Drosophila melanogaster: one gene and its partners. The protein of the gene in region 3 purifies or fractionates together with the protein of the main gene of each other region. This does not show direct contact. Each region holds a gene or a part of one and is shown on either strand. Other genes may lie near its edges.

Region 1 (4,586 bases), on a different chromosome or scaffold from region 3:
GTGGCTGGCACCACCGTTTGCTCCTTCATGGTGGAAGATCTGCTCGTGCTGATGCTGGAAGTACTCGTAGTGACCGACATGATCCGGATGGTGTTCCGTTGGCGGTGAATGGATCCTCGACGGTGGGCTGTGGTGCTGTCCCTTGGCGGCGTGGCCGGAGGTGGTGCTATGATGCGCTGCCTGCTTCTGTGAATGGCCACCTGCTCCTCCATGATGACCACCGCTGCTGGTATGATGACCATGTCCGTGGGCATGATGGTGATTGTGGGTTGGCGGCGAGGGCATGTTGTGGCCGCTGTGGGGCAGATGCGACGAGTGCTGCACACCCACCTGATGTCCGTGGTGGTGAGGAACATGACCTTGGGACGCCTCCATCAGCGTTGGCTGGATGTGGGTCACAAACTGGGCCATTTTGCCGCAACCTTCAACTACTGCTCCCTTTTTGTTGTGGTTTCTTTGAGGTTTGGGCTTAGGTAACACTTGTTTAAAATTTCACTCCTCTATGAGGCGGTTTTTTTTTTTGGGAAGGCGGGGGTGGCACTTTTATATGTATCCCAAAAGTGGGAGTGGGTAGCACAAAAAAACACACACTACGGCTGGCTTGCGGACGAGTTGTGGGCGACGGAGGATTTGGGCTCGGACCGTGGACAACCTTCTCGCAGGAGCAATGTCAAATGACTGACTAGGAGCAGCTATCCCAGTTGGGCCTTAGACGCCACAGGACTCGCCACCCGCCATCGCACCACCCGAACCACTTCGGCTCCAGCTCGGCTGTGCGCGTTCGTCCTCGTCGTGGCGGAAGAGCTTTAACCGGACCCAGTTTTATGCGCCTGGCCTGGCTGATAAGAGATACCACTCGCTTCAACGGCTGATTACGACTTTGGATGGCTGCGGATGCTGATTTAATGATGTCTTCGTGCCGCGCCACGTAGTGCTCTGTTTTTTATATCTGCCTGTCAACTGTGTCACGGATTTCCAATTCGTTTCGCTGGAGATTTTTTTGTCGCTGGGAGGCGGGGCTGCAATCTGTTATTTTTAAAACAGCCAGAGGAACATGTTCCGTCTATTTGTGTCAAGCGGGAAAGTATGCTCCGATTGTTAAGCACCTAACAGGTGGCAGCGAAGTCTAACGACTAGGGACTATCCTGTTGGTTCTTATTTTATTATTTAACATATCAAATCATGTTTTAAATGTTTTGAATATGGAAAAATGGGGTTAAAAAGTTAAAGCGAATGAAACCTATAATTATCTAATTGTCTCTACATTTTATTCTAAACTAACCAAAATATAGTATATTACTATTTAATATGAATTATCCCTCAATGACCTCTGCCGACGAACATTTTCAAGCCTAATATACCCGATTGTATTATTTTATACCTATTGCCCAGAAGCAATACGTTACGTTGTGAACTGAAAGCTTTTACCTTACGTAGATTGCTGGGCATTACGTTAAAGCTATGTTTTATTAAGCTTATTTCGTAGGGTATTTCGTGTGGTACATTGATATCTTAAAAAAGGGGGTGTGTCTCTTCATACACATATGCCTATGTACTTGACAAAACCTGGATGAAATGTACAGTTGGTATTTTAAAAATATTTTACAATACAATTTATTTATATAAGCATTATATTACAATTAAGGCGAGGTACAAACAAATTTGTTAACTCTTCGAAAAGCTTTGGGAAAGTTCCATCAACAGCGCATACAAATGTCTGCGAAATCTTCCCTTATCTCAACCTCCTGCATATATTTGTAGGTGCATATGCTTGTAGTTCGTTCGTCACCACGATTCTGTAGCTTTTGCGACTGCCAGCGCAACAAGGTCCAATGTCCAAGCGTCGCTGCCATATCGCGATGAACCAATGTACATATGTATGTACATATATAACATCGCTATACCGGCGCATCGGCAACTCGTTTGGATCATTTCGCTGGCAGCCACCGACGAGTTAGCAAGGCGACCTAGTTAAAACTCAGGAAAATACGAAAATAAACCCACATTCAAATGGCGTTCCTCAACAAGGTGAGCATATCAGTCAATTTACAACGCAGAGAAAGTGAAAAACACATCGCTGGGACATATCATATCCAAAGGTCCAAAGTTCTATCACGCTAGTGACGACAGCAACTGTTGATCGTAGGATCATACATACATATACATATGTACCTACCAACAAACATATATTCGAGTGGGTTCCGTTTCGAAAACAATTTGTTGCTGCCTATCTGTTAGCAATCATCTGTACTTTGCCCCCCCTGAGAAAGTATTATTAGCGGCGTCTAATGGCGGCTTATCGTGCACTCTATTTAAATCGGAATGCAAACTTTATGGGCAGGCATATTCGTTATCTGTTTTATGAAAAAAATAGAATGTGATGGTTGGTTATGAACCTCAAACATCCAAAGTCCCTTGTAAATATAAAAAAAACCTTCGTCTATGATCATGATGTTGTATTAATTAAATACATACGTAGTTGGCCCATTTTATTTGTTGCTTGTAGTTAAGATTAATTCGCGGTCAACTTTGTTGTTGTTCTGATTATTTCTACATTTTCATTTTGCATTTCGATAAACACTTGTTTACCAGTTGACTTTAAATCCGATATCCAATATCCGAAAATCCAGCTTGCTGCGCCTGCCCTGCGCCAGTTGGTGTCCCAAAGTCGCGCCTACGCCGCCGTGTCACACGTTTCGCCCAATGGCACCTCTTTCGCACTCACCGAGGATCAGCTGCAGCTGCAGGAACTGGCACGTAAGTTCACCCGTGAGGAGATCATCCCGGTGGCCGCCCAGTACGACAAGAGCGGCGAGTACCCGTGGCCCATCATCAAGAAGGCCTGGGAACTGGGCCTGATGAACAACCACATTCCTGCTGATATTGGTGGCCTGGATCTCGATGTGTTCACCACCTGCTTGTCGGCCGAGGAGTTGGCCTATGGCTGCACTGGCATCATGACCGCCTTAGAGGCTAGTGGTCTGGGCGTAAGTTTAAAGTCATGTCTATTTACGGCAAGATGATCGAAACGCCACGTTCTTTCATAGCAAACTCCTGTGATCCTGTCCGGTAACAAGGAACAGAAGAAAAAGTACCTGGGCCGCCTGCTGGAGGAGCCACTTGTCGCCGCCTATTGTGTTACAGAGCCCGGAGCAGGATCCGATGTGTCCGGCATCAAGACACGCGCCGAGAAGAAGGGTGATGAGTGGGTAATCAACGGCCAGAAGATGTGGATCACCAACGGTGGTGTGGCGAACTGGTACTTTGTGCTGGCCCGCACCAATCCGGATCCCAAGTGCCCGCCCAGCAAGGCCTTCACCGGGTTCATTGTGGAGCGCGACAGTCCCGGACTAACGCCCGGCCGCAAGGAGTTGAACATGGGACAGCGCGCCTCCGACACGCGTGGCATCACCTTCGAGGATGTGCGCGTGCCCAAGGAAAATGTGCTGATTGGCGAGGGTGCCGGTTTCAAAATTGCCATGGGCACCTTTGATAAGACGCGTCCTCCAGTTGCTGCCGGAGCTGTGGGTTTGGCCCAGCGTTGCTTGGATGAGGCTCTTAAATACGCGCTGGAACGCAAGACCTTTGGCGTGCCCATCGCTTACCACCAGGCTGTGCAGTTCATGCTGGCTGATATGGCCATCGGTGTGGAGACATCCCGTCTGGCGTGGCGTCTCTCCGCCTGGGAAATCGACCAGGGACGCCGCAACAGCTACTATGCCTCCATTGCCAAGTGCCATGCCGCCGATATGGCCAACAAGATTGCCTCCGATGCCGTCCAGATCTTTGGAGGCAACGGCTTCAACAGCGAGTATCCCGTGGAGAAGCTGATGCGTGATGCCAAGATCTACCAAATCTACGAAGGTACTTCTCAGATCCAGCGCCTCATCATTTCCCGAAACATGTACGAGGCTGCTAAGGGTCAAGCCTAAGTCAGTTTTAACTAGGATTCCTCATCTCCATTCACCTCATCAGTTGTCATGCTCATTGTAGACACATTCACAAATCCGATTAATAAAGTACAATAAGTAAATAATTACAAGAAAATATAAATCATTGATTGTGATTTGTCTGTTGAGGGAAATGTTGTATAAATGGCACTTGGTAATTTCTAAGGAATTACTTATTCCTCAAGTGTATAAAAGGAAGGAAGAAGTAAGCAAACAGTCAGTGCGTTAGTATGTTTACTAATTCTTAATATTTCAAGTTTCTCTAATCTTGCCCTCACTTACCCCCAAAATTGTAGAGTCTAGACCATCGCAAATTATTTCGCTAGCTATCATCCATTGATAAGATAAGCCCTGTGGGGGCTGAGTGTTTGTTCTACTTAGGTTCAACGAATCGCTGTTCTGCTATCAACTGAACGATAAGACTTACTGTACTTAGATTTGCTATATAATTGTCAAACAATAAAAAATGCTCTGGGACATACAACACAAGGAAATGGTTTACACATGATGAGACTACACTATTCCGCATCGCTTCCATCAGCGAGTAGCTTAAGTAGACCTTTGTACCGCCTTCCAATTTTCCGGCTATTTGATGTGGTCAACATTTTGGCCTTGTCTCCAAATTGCAGCTGCCAA
Region 2 (4,745 bases), on a different chromosome or scaffold from region 3:
AGCGAGAGGGGAAGCTTTCTGTGCAACAGCCAATACTTTTTTTTAGCTTTTTGTTCTACTTTGACTACCATTTTAATGCCAATGACCCAAGCGGATAACTAGTGACAATGGCCTGTGTTGTAGACACAAAACCCACGACTAATTGTGTGCTCATCTGATCTTTTGTTCTAACGCCATTTACAAGTTGCCTGATCCAGATTTTCAGGAAGATCACGTTCACAGCTATCGAATTTTGATATATTACCAAATTTGAAGCCCGCTGTTTTAGCCACATTACAACGTTTGCCACGCTAGTCCAATCTATGGCCATATAAATCTCAGCCTTACGCTCACCTTTGTACTCTCCTTATCGTTGTTTACTTTAGGGTTATTAACGAATTTTACATTTTAGAAGTTGTTCGAAAATGGCAATTTATTCTGTACGGCATACTATATACTATATGTGTTTTACATATTTTCTCCCCATACAATATGCCTACATATCATTGCCACTATCATTATGCCAACAACCATAACAATAACAATATCAGAGACAGGTTCGGTAGCACTCGCAGTCCAATTTAGATAATTTTCCACTGGACATTTCAGTTTAAGCGGTACGAAAGCCGGAAGCTGCTCATATGAGCATATCTCCTCTGTTCGTATAATAGATTTATCTTTTTTATCATAATTTGTTTACGGGCACTGCCGATGACTGTCATTTGTCGCACATATAGATTTGCGTATGTGGAGCTCGTACTAACTCCCTTCCATTCACAGTGACTAATTTACTAAATTTGGTTTCTTTTATTTACACTTTATTCACTTTATTTTCTCTTCAAGTTCCAATTGCCTGTTATCACGTAGGGAACATTTACCCATTCGCCTAATCTTATCACTCACTACTTCACGCACACGGGGAATTCAGCAAAGGTAAAATAGGTAAAAGTCTTATTGACTTTTTGACGAAAAATGGAAATAAGTCTTGAGTTAAACTAAATGCTGAAACGTGCTCAATATAATTCCGCTGATTTCTGAATTGATTATGGGGGTAGTCACTTTGGAATTACCGATTTTATGATGGCTTTGTTTCTTTGTACACCTGTTTCCTCGGCCGGTAAACGCGCTACTAACGAAATCCCCAATGATCGTGGTCAGTGATGCCGCTTTAGCCATGAATATTATCTTCAAAAAAGATTTTAAAGTTGGATGTTTCTACTAACAACTCACTTTTGCCCTGAAAATATATATATTCTTTTTTTTTGCCAAAATATTTTATTTTTTAGATAATTTCCTTATAAAGGCACGACATCACTAGTAAGTCATTTACCTTTCCCATCCAATACACAAACCAACTTTGAGCTTGAGTGCCATCGAGCTTTTTGTTGGTTAAAAGGGGTTAAACGCAGTTGTTGGTAGTTTTGCGTTAAACAAAGAGTTTAAGCTACATTATATTGAAATGTAACGCCTAAAAAAATAGATTTATTGTAAAGTAGCCCTTCACAAAAATATTTCGTATTAAAAGTGACAAAATGTATCAAAAGCCTGCCAGTTTTTTATTTCAATTACATTACTGGCTCCTATTTTGGTTTCTACTACATTTACTAGTTTTCAAACTTATTTTTGAAAGACCGCTTGTAACGGTCGATAGTCATTATTGTTAACCCGATAGAGCTGCACAAATATTATCGATATATTATTGGTATTTTCCAACTGCCCGGATGGATTTTCGATGACTGTGGCTGCAGTCACACTGAGTCGGGAAAATAATTATTTATTAAAAATTCGTGGACCCGCGCTGTACATCTGTGTCTGTGCTGTTCGCTCCGCTCCAAGTGCGGCAAAAAGCAACCAAGAAGGCAGGCAGCCCAATCGGTAATTTACGGCGGAGTAGTGAGGCGATATACGGAAATCGCGACCAGTGCACGTGCAATTGTGAATCGTTCTCGATTTTCCCGACCCGCACCCTTTCTTCTCTTTCGACCATTGTGACTGTGCACAATTAACTTGCATACATACGTGTATGTATGTACACACTCTGTTTGTATGTATGCGTGCCACCCCCAATTGAGGCGGAAAAAGGAGAAGCAAAGGAATTTCTGCAAAATCCAAGATGCCCATGCTATTTTCACTATTTTATTTTGCCAACTTTTCAGTCGACACTTTGCTCTTGCAGCAACAAAGCCAACAACGGCGAAAATTGGAAGTTATTTTCTTTTCTTTCTCCACTCTTTTTATCGCAAAACAACAGCAACACTGCCCGTGCACCGCTCTCCCCGCTCCCACTTGCGTCCTTGTTAATACAGTGAATATCGGCTAGCCACAAACAGGGGAAATACAAAGAATCTTAATTTGCATTTGTATGGTTGATAAAAAGTCAACTTATCAACTTATCTAAATCGTCAAACCAAAGTGACTTATACATTTGTAAACATTTTTAAGCGTTTTCCCTGTTTTAATTGCGAAAATAGTAAAGATATCGTGTTTTATTTTTATCAACAGTGCAGCGAAAGTTTTATAAAGTATACATATATTCAGTCAAATAATTATTAAAGTCCTATACTCTCCGTATACACTGGATTTGGTTTTTTATTAATTTTCAATTATGTGTATTTTGAATTTAGCCTCTTCAATTGGAGCTTAGGAACCTTAACAACCAAAGAACCGATTTCCAGACTTAAAGCTAAGGTAAGTTAAATACACCTATTATTCTTAGCCTCATTATCAATTTTTAATGAAACTTCAAAAAATAGATTGTAAGAGTGTTATATCTCTTTTCTTAGTTAAACATAATCTCGGAAATGATATCCATTATCTTACGTAGGGGATTTGCCTGCAGGAGACCTGCATCAGCATGTCTGTTATTGTTGCACGTGGGTCACCGAACTGGGCGGGTGTGGGCGTGGTCAGGTAGTAGCTGAGCATATCTGCATTTCAACAATCGATCTTAATCTGCGCTTGCTTTTGAGTTCCTTTCGTCTAGGACTTGTTATACTTGATTTATGGCCCCTTCCCGCGATTTCCCATCCTCGAAAACCGGTTGTTTTGACTTAATCATCGGTTCTCGCTGGTTATTTGATATGAAATTCTTTCTGACTCACAGCAGTTGTTTAAATTCTGGCGTGGAAATCCCGATCTTTTTCCTTATCAAGCCAAATAAATATGAAGGCTAATTTGCTATGTTTGAATTATTTTATTTAAATTACTTTTGAAAAACAAATAGGCAGTACAGCTATTAAATAGCAGGTTTTTATTTGTTAAAGCGTAATATCTTTCAGATTTTATAGATTCTAAATCTTCCCATATAGGTTTATTTTTCCTCATTAAGTCTTGCAAATTATGTTCGATTTTCTTTCTGTATCGGTTCTGAGATATTGTATGTTGCAGCGATTTTCACTGTTGCATAAAACTCTTGTATTCCGGGCCTAATTAAATCACTTTAAATGCCTGCTCGGTGTGGCTGAAATAATTCGATTTAAAGGTCAGGCACTCACCCAAGTGACTTTCCAACTCTTTTTGTTCTCGGCTCCCAGTCAGTCATCAGCGAAAATTGAGTGAGATCGAGGAGGAGGGGAAAATCAATATGTGCTAATATAATTTTGTGGCAAACAAATTAAAGCACACAGAACAGCTCGTCGTCGCTGCTCTGATTTGTTTAGCTATACGAATATGTACCATATTTATTCAGTTGATTTGGTTCAGTTTCAGTGGTGAATATTTGAGCAGCAGCATTTAATATTTGATACTGGCCAATTTGATTTGTGGGTAAGCACATTGACTACCGCCCAAAACTGAAATGCAGCCGAAAATGGGGCCAAAAGTGGGTTATGTTTGCTCCGACCACCATGCAAGCTGGCTTTGATTTACGACTGCAACTAAAGTAGGTTAACCTAGGTCCAGATAACTACTACATTCTGCTTCTCCAACGATACCATATTCTAATCTCAAAGTTGCCTGAGCTGCTGGCTTTCCAAGAGTAGAATCATGTACATGTGACCTTGACACGGTTTTCACTTGCTATGCAGGAAAAAGGGTTTCCCGCATCCACCGTACCGTATCCATTGAAATTTGATTTTGTTATTTGTTTATCGACGCCACTTCATGCAAATTGGAGAAATTCAGGTGGATATATTTTTAGCTGACACATCCATGCAATGTTTGCAAATGCATATATAGTATTCACCTTTCTGCCAGCCTGATGAAATTCTTTTGTATATTTTTCACTCTGTTCTCCGTTCTCGTGGAACTCAACCAGGTTGGACCACCCAACGCCCAGCTCCGTCTCTTACTTTGCCTTTCTCTGCGCCGCCCTTTTTCCAGAGCACCTCCGTCCGCCTTCCGTTCCCGGAGGTCGGGAAAAAGAACCGGGTTAATCGTCGCCACGTTGTCGCCGTGGAGAACAAATGACTCTTTTCGTTTGTGGGTCAACTGCAATTTTTGCCATTAATATAATTAATTGATTGCCATTTTGGTTTTAAATGTCGTAACTTTATGTGAGTGAAACGCACCTATTAAATGGGAATACTCACATAATAAAATTCAAAAGCGTTCACATCGCAAAATCTATAAGAATGCTAAAATTGTTTTCAGTGCTGCACTTCACACTTACGTAGCAAAAAGATTTACCCAATCTTAAAATTACTTTAATTCCTGCTTAATAAATCTTTCTACAAATTGCCGATCAATAAATCAACAGTGCGTCTAATTTGGCTTATCGAAATGCCCACTTTCGAGTACTTTGTACAACATTCTGTGCATAAGCGATC
Region 3 (4,812 bases):
ATTTTGTTCGTCCTGCCTATTCACATACATCGTTCATCTCCAGGTCGGCCACATGACCAGGAAACAGGTGCGCCTTCTGCATGGGTACGTGCACAAAGTAACGATCACAAAACTTGGGGTTCCGCCGAAGCAGGACCTCAGTCAGTATTGTGCCATAGTCGATCTTCTTGGTAATCAAAAGGCGCCGGCTCTCTCCACTCCCATAGCTAGCGGAACGCAAGCCAAATTGTCTGGCGATTCTGTAAAGGGAAATGCCAACATAATAAGCAATTATTTTTTACGATGTGGGATGACGGTGCTTACTGGTGAAGCGTGGTTCTTTCTTCCTTCGAAAACGTGGGCTCAAACTGCATGTCACGTATATCGTCCGATCTCACATAGTTTTCTATAAGCCGTCGGTAATCAGCGAAATTTCCCTTTGGATTTATTAATCCAAGACCATTACGATTGTTCTTTAGCAGATAACTGAAAATATAAAATAAAATAGTTTCGTTTGGTGATACGTTAAAAGTCGAACTCTTACCATACGGGCTCTTCACGTCCCTGCTTCAGTCGCCCTAAGCCACCGCCTGTCCAGCCCATCAGTCGCATCATGCGATATCCCTTGTTGCTGGGGTCCAATTTGGGATCGCACGGACTGTCGGCGGACTCATTGGTGACTTTGATGTTGACGCCGTCCTTGTTTTTTTCCACCTTGATGGTGTCGCGCGTGGCATTCAGCTGTGTAGCGTAGTACCGGGTTTAATAAGGCATACATTATTTCAGAAATTTCATACCTTAATACTATAGCAATAGGACTGGATCGTCAAATGCGCCTGCTTATAGGCAGCTTTCTTGGCCGCCTTAAGGCTCTCCCCCTGTCCTGTCGCTATTACCTCATCATTTACTAATAATTCGGCGTATTTTGTATTATCGCTTAATGGCTGATCTCGGCTGACACGCTCTTCGTACTTGACATTCGCAATGTTGCAGGAGTTTTGCAGGCAGGCTCGTCCCCCAGCCAAGTACACAATGAGCCGACCGAAACGCAGATCTTGATAGAGATCGACTGGATCTCCGCCGCCAAAACACTGGCGTTTTATGTGTGAGCTATCCTCTGGGGAGCTCGTCGAGGGAAGGGGTGGAGCCCGGCGCCCTAGTAGTTGGAATTAGGCATTAGGCTTTGGTCTCTCTGGCTCGTATAGTTACTAGTGATAAAAAGAATCTTCTCTCGCCTATGGGCCCACTAATTGTTCAGTCGTCTACCTTTGGCGCGCTGCTCCGCCGCATCCGACGCCGAGACAAATGTTCTCTTCAGGCGCTGTTCCCGTTTCTGACGGAAATCCGCTGCGATTTCCTTGGACAACTCGGCCACCAAAAGCATCGTCGCGCTTGGATACTTGCAGCCCATGAACTCCATGTTGACGAACGTTTGGGCCAGGCACACCAGCCGGTCCTCCTCAAAACGATCCTTGTGGGCCAGCATGAAGCTGCGTCGCAGATCCCAGTGCTCATCACTTTCGTATTCCGTCTTGTAGCTGTCTACATCCCAGTCCAAGGAAAATTCCCCGGATCCATAGCCGGCATCATCCTGTTTTTTAACTTTGACTTTCTTCTGCTTTGGCTTGGATTGTTGAACGGACATCTTTACAGGGAAAATAAATAGCGTTCAACTTGTCAAATAAAATGAGCACAGGCACGCTTGTTTTTTGATTGCTGCTTTCCCATTCACAGCGAATTATCAATTCGATTGGCCATGTGTTGCCCATTGGCTATCGATAACGCAGCGATAACGATAGGCCCCATCACGGCTATACTTTGTCGTGCGTGTGTGTTTTTAAGTTCCTGCCTTTTAATTCATGATTTTTTGGTAACTTAACAACAATTTGGAGAGCGACGCGACGCCCAAGAAGTCAGAAACGAATTGCCAAAGTGTCTCCACAGACGATTGCCCCAAAGTGAGAGATCGGATCAGCCCAAAGCAGCCAACATGAGCATACCCAACGAGTACATAGCGAAAACGGAGGATGTGGCGGAACAGGTAAGATATATTAGGTTCCACTGCCAAAAAGAAGTCCACCAGGACTCCATATCCACCGCAGGAAGCGTCTTCCCGATGCGCCCCAAATGGCGTTTGCGGGGAAGCCCTGGCAGCTGCAAACTGGGAAAACTGCCAACGTCACCCAAACGCGGCAAAGTTCGAGGGTCTTGGCTGCATATAATCACGATCCGCTGACATGGGGGCAACGTGCTGGGCATTTGCTTCCAATAAGAATCTGGGTGCAACCCAGATGATGGGTTTGCCTTGTACTCCAGTACCGCAATTGACAGTTGTTGCGTCTGCCGCAGGGAAAACTCTCTCTCTCGCTGCTTATTTTCTACCTGTGTGCTGATGCGTATGTGTCTGTGTGTGTGTGCGAGAGAGCTGTCTCCGCAAGTGAAAGTGTTGAAAAAGAAATAGCGGGCAGCTGGACGCCAGCGGCCAGGTCGAGTTCCGTAATAGTTGGGCTAGAAAGCCAGGTGAACTTGCTCGCGATTTACATACATACATGTATGAAGTTACATTGACAGCCGGGCCAAAACCCGTTAGCTGGCAGATAGCAATCGAGAGATACTAGCGTTTAGAGACACGTCACAGCCAGCGGGCGATTTCTAGCGACTACGCGCAAGCCACGCTCAACGGCATTGTATATTTAAATCCCTTATCACCTTGTCAGTAGTCCCCTTATCACCATATCAGCACCCATCCCAATTGCTCTCAACTCAACCAGAACCAATCGAACACTCATTTTTGCAGGTCATCAAGCGCGGCAAAAATGTGCTGCCCACAGTGGCCCGTTTGTGCCTCATCGCCACGTTCTTCGAGGACGGCCTGCGCATGTACATCCAATGGAACGAGCAGCGGGAGTACATGGACATGAGCTGGGGCTGCGGCAAGTTCCTGGCCACCGTCTTTGTGCTCGTCAACCTGTTGGGCCAACTGGGCGGCTGCGGCATGGTGATGGCCAGATTTAAGGTCGACATAGCGGTGGGACTGCTTTTCTTCATTGTGGTGTTGCAGGTGAGTCTGCATTTATATCAGCCAGAAGCAAAAGCCTTGACGTTAACCCGATCCTCTGTTTGCAGACCGTTGCCTACTCCATTCTGTGGGACTTCCAGTTCTTACTGCGAAACTTTGCACTCATCGGAGCCCTACTGCTCGTCCTGGCGGAAGCCAGGATAGAGGGGCGCAGCCTGTTTGCCGGCGTGCCATCGATGGGCGAAAACAAGCCCAAGAACTTCATGCAGCTGGCGGGCCGCATCCTGCTGGCCTTCATGTTCATCACTTTGATCCGCTTTGAGCTGAGCGTATGGCAAGTTATACAGGACATCATCGGCTCCATTCTGATGGTGCTGGTCGTGCTGGGATACAAGACGAAGCTGTCCGCCCTGATTCTGGTGGCTCTGCTTACGATCCTGAACCTGTACCACAATGCCTGGTGGACCATTCCGTCCTACAAGCCACTCAGGGATTTCTTGAAATACGACTTTTTCCAGGTTAGCAGGTTTACAATATCTTTCGCACGAATTTGTGTTATTTTTACGCATTCCCTTCGCAGACTCTCTCGGTGATCGGTGGCCTCCTCATGATCGTGTCCTTGGGCCCTGGCGGCGTTTCCATGGACGAGCACAAGAAGAAGTGGTAGAGGCCAGGCAACGGTCGCTCCTTGAACGAAACACTTTCAACATTTGACTTTTACCGTGTTTTACTCCTTCTGAGAAATGTTAGTTAGGAATTACCATAAAATGGGACAACAACAGGAGCAGCATCAGCAGCACAACACCGGCACGTATAAGAACTTGACAATTTTCAATAAAGGGACTTCCGCAATACCCCTCTCCAATGGCTCACTTATTGGGATCGCCCCAACCCAACTCCAAATCCATTCGCGCACATTCAACGACAAACTTCGACATTTTAAACATTTAGGACATTTTATTTTTGTACATAAAGAACAGGCAAGAAAAAAGTTTGGTCACTTTCGAGCCCACCCCAAATGAGAGACATAACTGATTTTATATCTATGCTTGTCAATATCCATGTTTTTTGCCGATTTTTTTATATGATTTGTACACTCTTATAAATAAGTTGTAACCTTGGTGTTTGCCTTTTGTTGATTGCTAGAAGTTTGAATATGAAAACGATGTATAAAATATGATGTACCAATTGACAATGATTTGTTTCTTTCGTTTATAAGCAAAAGTGTAATAGAATTAAATTGTAACGTTTTAATAAACATAAAGATGAAAAACCGAGACTTGTGCATTTTAAACTTGGCGCCAATTGGCCGATAAATGGTTAATGCTTTTGTTTGTTTACCAGCACTAAGGCACAGCTGACTCGCAACGTCAACAAAGAGGGAAATGCCCATTCTTCGACTACTGGGTACCCCGTACTAAGTTAGCTGCTAGTGAATCCTGCATAACTAACAATAAATAACTTTATTGCAAAAATAAGAGCATAAACCTTATACAAGTAGTACGATTAAATTTTGTAAATAGACACAAAATATAATGATAAAAAAAATGATTAGGCACCGTTTTGAATGGTAATGTTAGTGAATTAACTAAATATAAAACAATATATTGAAAAGCCCTGACCTCTCCAACAAGGCAGTGAAATGTCAACGGCCTCACTTTTTTTTAAAAACTTGAAATCAAATCTGAAAATAGGGATGAGTACATTTGATTAATTTCCAAAAATTGTTGCAATCAGTTCAAATCAATTGCAATACACAATGCACACAAGTAACTTATAGGGGCGGAAGTGTTTTCTGCAGCTGGCGACAAACA
Region 4 (5,355 bases), on a different chromosome or scaffold from region 3:
CGAATAATGCTTGCACACTAAGTAGTAAAATAATTGTTTTACATAAAAAAAAATAATCATTTTTCACTTGGGTAATCCGCAAAGTAAACAAAAGAACTTAATCTTCAGCTTAAAAGTGCCAAAGTTTGAGTTGGGTAAAAGTTTGCAATGTGATTAAGGCATGAGGTGGAGACTCACATGTGGTCGACGTGGAACCCGAGCCGATGTGATGGAGTGAGGAGTATATAATCGCCAGTATCCAAAACAGCCTCGATCTCATCACTGCAGCGGAGTGTCTTCATATGCCGACTTACGGGATACGGTAACAGGATGCGGGATGATGCATCGACTGGCGCCACTCGCCGCAGGATATGCACATATGAACGAACGCCCCTCTAAACTGTTCTATATCGATCCAAGTCCAACTGCATCAGCGTCCCACTGCATCGCCAGCGATGATTCCACGGACTTCACTTCGCTTCGCTTATCGATTGCCCTGCGGCAAAATATTGCTGGACATATTGCACTCAAGTATCTTCTTTTTCAGAGTGTCCTTTTCGATTATATATGTATATTTACTTTTTCTTTTTCTCTTTTTTGTTGATTTCTTTGCACACTTTTCAGCGCGCGGATGGAGGCTGGAGGGATAGGAATGTCGGACAATTGGAAAATCGGAAAAGCGCTTATTAACCAGCTCGTGTTGCGTGTGTATTTATCCTTTTGCAACTGCTGCTCGGATGGCCAATAAACGGGAATGTAGGTCAGGGCATGCTCTGCGCATGGCCAGCATCCGCATCCCTATTATTTCATCCGAAGGAATCCCTCTACCCGAGCAACAACAACAAATAGCAGACGCCACTCACCTCTCAAGCTCAAAATAATGCAATCTTCAAGATTGTTTTAAAAAGAAAAAGACTTTTCTTTTCTTCTTTTGTTTGCATTTGTCCAGGAAAAAAGCTCTTTTCGGCGGATGGTTCTGATAAATATTTAACAATATAAAAGTTGCTTTTGCCGGTCCTTCGGCGTTGTTGTTCCCTCACCCACACTTGCTTCGGCACTGAATCCGCTCCGAAAGGCCAGCATCTCTCTCGGCATTCTTGCAATCCAGGGATTTCTACCCACCAAACAAGGTCCTTTGAATCCGTATAGCTCGGCATGCAAATAAATCGGGCGATTGAGCTCAGAAATACCTGTATTTTACTAATTGTTAAGAGCCTAGAGTAAAAATACAGATAAACTACCATTCTTTTACTGTCAAATTAAGCTTCAAATTCGAAATTCGATAAGTAACCGATATTTATCGATAGGCAAAGGATTACCCTCGCACATACGCGATCCGCTATAGCCATCTCGCTCCATCAATAATTTACCGTTAATATAGCGGGCTTTACTCAGAAACATCAAAAATATTTAACGACTTTAATTGTAGCATTCGCTGCGTTAAATTGTTTATCGCACTTTCTGCTTCCTGCGCATGTGCAGGAAATTAGTCAGACTATTTCGGTGATTGCCCCATTCTGGCGTGTATTGGTGAGAGCATAGAACTTACACTGCCCTCCTATGATATACATATGCATGCTTTTTTCGCTTTTAAATAAACTAATTAATAGACTAGTAAAAGAAGGATATACGGTAATGAACCTGTGAACCCTTAGGCGGAAAACTATTGCTGAATTTACATTTCATCCCTCTTTTAAAATCAGCTAGTGCAACATAACGGTTCTTGGTGTGATAAATTTTTGCGCTCACTGTTTGCAGCCGCCCTTATCTTTCGCTTTTTGGTGGTGTGCGTGAGCGCTATGAAATGACATAAGTGGGCACACAACACAGACACACACCCCTCTGAGGGGGGCACATGGATACGAAAAAGAACCGTTCATTTGCTTTTGTGCCGTTGACAATTGACATTCAATCGCTTTTTCCATTTGTTTTTATTTTCCCCCTTCTACCCTAAGTTTCTCCTTTCAAAGAAAACGCATTTGGAATACAAATCAGGCAAAAAACACGCGTACATAAATCGAGTAATCGAAAATCAGTGGCGATTTCGAAGGGTGTGTGTGTGTGTAGAATTACTACAACACACCACAAATACAGTTCGAAAAGGCAGCGCAGTCGGCAGAGGCGAAAAAAAAGCAGCGGCGTCAGCATTTCCATTTCGGCATTGCAGCTCGAAAATCGTAGAATCAGAAACTAATCAGCCGGCAGAGGCTATAGCAGTCGACCGATCGCAATCGCACCATATAGTACATACAATAGGTACCATTGCCTAGGAGTACCAGGAACCAGGAACCACTAATCTCCATCATCAACATCATGGAGGAGAACAACTCGCAAGTGCTGAGCCTGCTGGGCGGTCTGGCCATCGGAATCGTGGGCTTCCAGGTCTTCCGGAAGGTCCTGCCCTGGATTTACGCCAATGTTGTTGGCCCCAAGGTCTTTGGCTCCTCGGTGGATCTCTCCAAAATGGGCGAGTGGGCAGGTGAGTCGGTTGCCATGGAAAAACATGCCGGAAAGGAGCGGAAACGGGGTCGATTCCGAGTGCACAGTGAAAAAATGAATAGCAAGTTTGCTAAAGAAGTGTAGTTAAAAAGATTAAAGACCCTTTTACAATTAAATTGTGAAGAAAGGGAATTTCCAAATTGCAAACACTCTACTTTCAAGTTTTCCAATTTTGCATTAACTGCCTAAAGGAATACACTATATATCTTTCCAAAATGGAGTTCAGTACTTTTTTCACTGTGACCGATAAGATCGTTCCCCACGCCCCATAAATCCACTGATAACCCACAGAACTATTGGCTAACTTTTTCGACTTTCAGTTGTCACCGGGTCGACCGATGGAATTGGCAAGGCCTACGCCAAGGAGGTATGTACACAAAGATGACATGGAAGGGCTGCCCCAATCTTGACCAGCGCAAGCAAAGTCCGTCCAAGCTCGACCGATGATTATAGTAAAATGGGAAACGGGTCAAGCAAACAAACAAACAAAAAACGATAGTAATAATGAGCAATTAGTAATTACTAATTACCGAATTGAGTGTCGCCCACGATGACTTGGACATTGGTTTAGCGGTCGCCAATGCATTAGCCAAGTGAATCTGCACTTTGAAATCGATCTTCAGTCAACAGTCCAGTCGCAAACAGTCCCTAATAGTGTTTGCTTGACTGCAAATCGCTACATTTGTACTTTTCGTTATTTATTTTTACAAAGTGCAATCGCAGTTGATTTTTCTACCTTTTGTGGTAATTTTTTTTTTTTTTTGCCAGTTTTATTTTGTAATACACAGACTTGGAGCAAACGAAGCTAGAAGCTATAGGGAACACGTGTCCCCTGAATGGCAATTACTTTATAGAGTGGAGCACAGGGCCCCGATCGAAGCTTGTGCCAAATTAGCATTCGGCGTGCGTCGAACGCACAGAAAATGGTTCAATGTTCACACCCAATTTCTATTCATATACACGCTTAGTACACTTAAATGACTTCCTGTTCTTAAAATCTACGGGTTACTCGTCTTTGAAACTCCTGCTTTAGGTAGAAACGTTCAGTGTTCCCATTCCAAAGCACCATTGCTTTTTATCTCTGACCTAAGAATTTACTATCCAAAAGTACGTAAATATGAGCAGGCTAATAAATATTTAATCACTTTCAGTTGGCTCGCAGGGGCTTGAAACTGGTGCTGATTAGTAGATCCCTGGAGAAACTGAATGTGGTGGCCAAGGAGATAGGTAAGTCTGCTCACTAAAATACAGTTAACAACTTCAACTAACAACTGCTCTTTGCGGTCTACTTTCAGGCGATAAATACGGTGTGGAGGTGCGTGTGATCGATGTGGACTTCACCGGCGGTGACGAGATCTACGATAAGATCCGCGAAAAGACCACTGGCCTCAATGTCGGAGTGCTGGTCAACAACGTGGGCATCAGCTACGGCCATCCCGAGTACTTTCTGGACTGCTACAAAGCCGATCCCCCATTCCTGCGCAACATTGTGGCTGCCAATATCCACTCGGTGACGCACATGACCGCACTTTTTCTACCCGGCATGATTAGCCAGCGACGTGGTGTGATCATAAATGTATCGTCCACCGCCGGAGTCATTCCTAATCCGCTGCTGAGCGTGTACAGTTCCACCAAGGTGAGTGGATATCATCAGAAGTGATAGAAGGCTAATTACTAATACCTATAATTTGCAGGCCTTTGTGAACAAATTCAGTGATGACCTGCAGACGGAGTACAAGGAGCACGGCATCCTCATCCAGAGCGTCCAGCCGGGCTTTGTGGCCACAAATATGTCTAAGATCCGAAAGGCTAGCGTGTTTGCTCCCTCGCCGGAAACGTATGTCCGCTCGGCGCTGTCCACCCTGGGCATTGCCACCCAGACGGCGGGCTATCTGCCGCATGCTCTACTCCAGCTGGTCATCCACTTCACGGAGGCGGTGTTCGGCGAACAGTTCGCACGCAACATCGTTATGAAGAACATCCTGGGCACCCGGAAACGTGCCCTGCGCCGCCTGGCCAAGGAACAGTAGATTATTGAGGATGAATACGGCGGAGGAGGCATTTAATGGGAATCGGTTGGGATGATGAGTGGGTCAGTTGGGTTGTGGGGAAAATCCGGCTAGTCAAATAGCTTACGTAATTACCGCGTGTCATACGAATCCACAAACAGATAGCTTGAAATACCAAAAAAAAAAACATTTTTCCGAAATAAACTAAGTTTAGTTAGTTTTTGTCATTAATTAGCATTGAAGATTCGCAAACAGCCATGTCATGTAAACAATAAAAAATGTGTTACTAGATATATGTATATATCTAGTTTCCAATGATAAATAACGCCTTTTATTTGCAGTCCTTTATTTTGTATTTAACTTCTTATTTGTTCTTGCTAGCGATTTTTCTTTTTCCCTATGATTTTTCATGTTTTTCGGATCCAATTTGAATTTGAATTGGATGTGTCGATAACGGCAATAGCTATCGATTGGTCATCGATAGGCGCGCCCTTCGGCTAATCGGCGAGATGGGAATGACAGAAAGAGATACAACACTTCGCGCAGGGCGAAGAAGCAAAGCAAAGGGCAAAATTCATAAACATAACAGTAAAGATAGTGTATAGCCGGGCGTGAAATGTAATGAATCGGATTCATGACGTGACGTGTTATCAGGGCCAGCCCAATCCCAACTGCGCAGCAGCAGCGACAGCAACAACAATAACAACAACACATCAAGCTGAATCGAAGGAGCGTGTAATCAGTAATCAGAGTCGCTTGTTTTGATTTCCTTTCCTCGGAAACGAATCAACACGAAACGAGACGAGACGATTCGAAACGAAATGAAATCAAAACTCCGCTCCGGATAAAGCTGGTCAAACCAATCAAC

Evidence for each region.
Region 1: the proteins of Surf4 (region 3) and Mcad purify together in Drosophila melanogaster (affinity purification with mass spectrometry, with the first as the bait; one large-scale study listed by BioGRID). This does not show direct contact.
Region 2: the proteins of Surf4 (region 3) and ZnT63C purify together in Drosophila melanogaster (affinity purification with mass spectrometry, with the first as the bait; one large-scale study listed by BioGRID). This does not show direct contact.
Region 4: the proteins of Surf4 (region 3) and spidey purify together in Drosophila melanogaster (affinity purification with mass spectrometry, with the first as the bait; one large-scale study listed by BioGRID). This does not show direct contact.

The regions. Positions count from the first base shown.
Region 1 is NT_037436.4:7,717,430-7,722,015, forward strand, and holds Mcad (Medium-chain acyl-CoA dehydrogenase), read left to right. Parts: upstream 1-1,920; 5' UTR 1,921-2,010; coding exon 2,011-2,028; intron 2,029-2,469; exon of another isoform or gene 2,470-2,630; coding exon 2,631-2,987; exon of another isoform or gene 2,988-3,047; coding exon 3,048-3,932; 3' UTR 3,933-4,043; downstream 4,044-4,586. Other genes in the region: CG7457 (uncharacterized protein), read right to left, coding at 4,469-4,586.
Region 2 is NT_037436.4:3,301,999-3,306,743, forward strand, and holds the start of ZnT63C (zinc transporter 63C), read left to right. Parts: upstream 1-1,709; 5' UTR 1,710-1,854; exon of another isoform or gene 1,855-2,275; intron 2,276-2,603; 5' UTR 2,604-2,667; intron 2,668-4,745.
Region 3 is NT_033777.3:15,343,117-15,347,928, reverse strand, and holds Surf4 (surfeit 4), read left to right. Parts: upstream 1-1,752; 5' UTR 1,753-1,969; coding exon 1,970-2,020; intron 2,021-2,776; coding exon 2,777-3,040; intron 3,041-3,105; coding exon 3,106-3,516; intron 3,517-3,578; coding exon 3,579-3,665; 3' UTR 3,666-4,276; downstream 4,277-4,812. Other genes in the region: CG31301 (uncharacterized protein), read right to left, coding at 17-239, 304-465, 524-720, 777-1,135, 1,246-1,624. UniProt on the Drosophila melanogaster protein: Endoplasmic reticulum cargo receptor that mediates the export of lipoproteins by recruiting cargos into COPII vesicles to facilitate their secretion.
Region 4 is NC_004354.4:7,907,080-7,912,434, forward strand, and holds spidey (spidey), read left to right. Parts: upstream 1-1,851; 5' UTR 1,852-2,292; coding exon 2,293-2,458; intron 2,459-2,798; coding exon 2,799-2,845; intron 2,846-3,629; coding exon 3,630-3,705; intron 3,706-3,773; coding exon 3,774-4,114; intron 4,115-4,172; coding exon 4,173-4,508; 3' UTR 4,509-4,806; downstream 4,807-5,355. Other genes in the region: dpr14 (defective proboscis extension response 14), read right to left, coding at 178-259.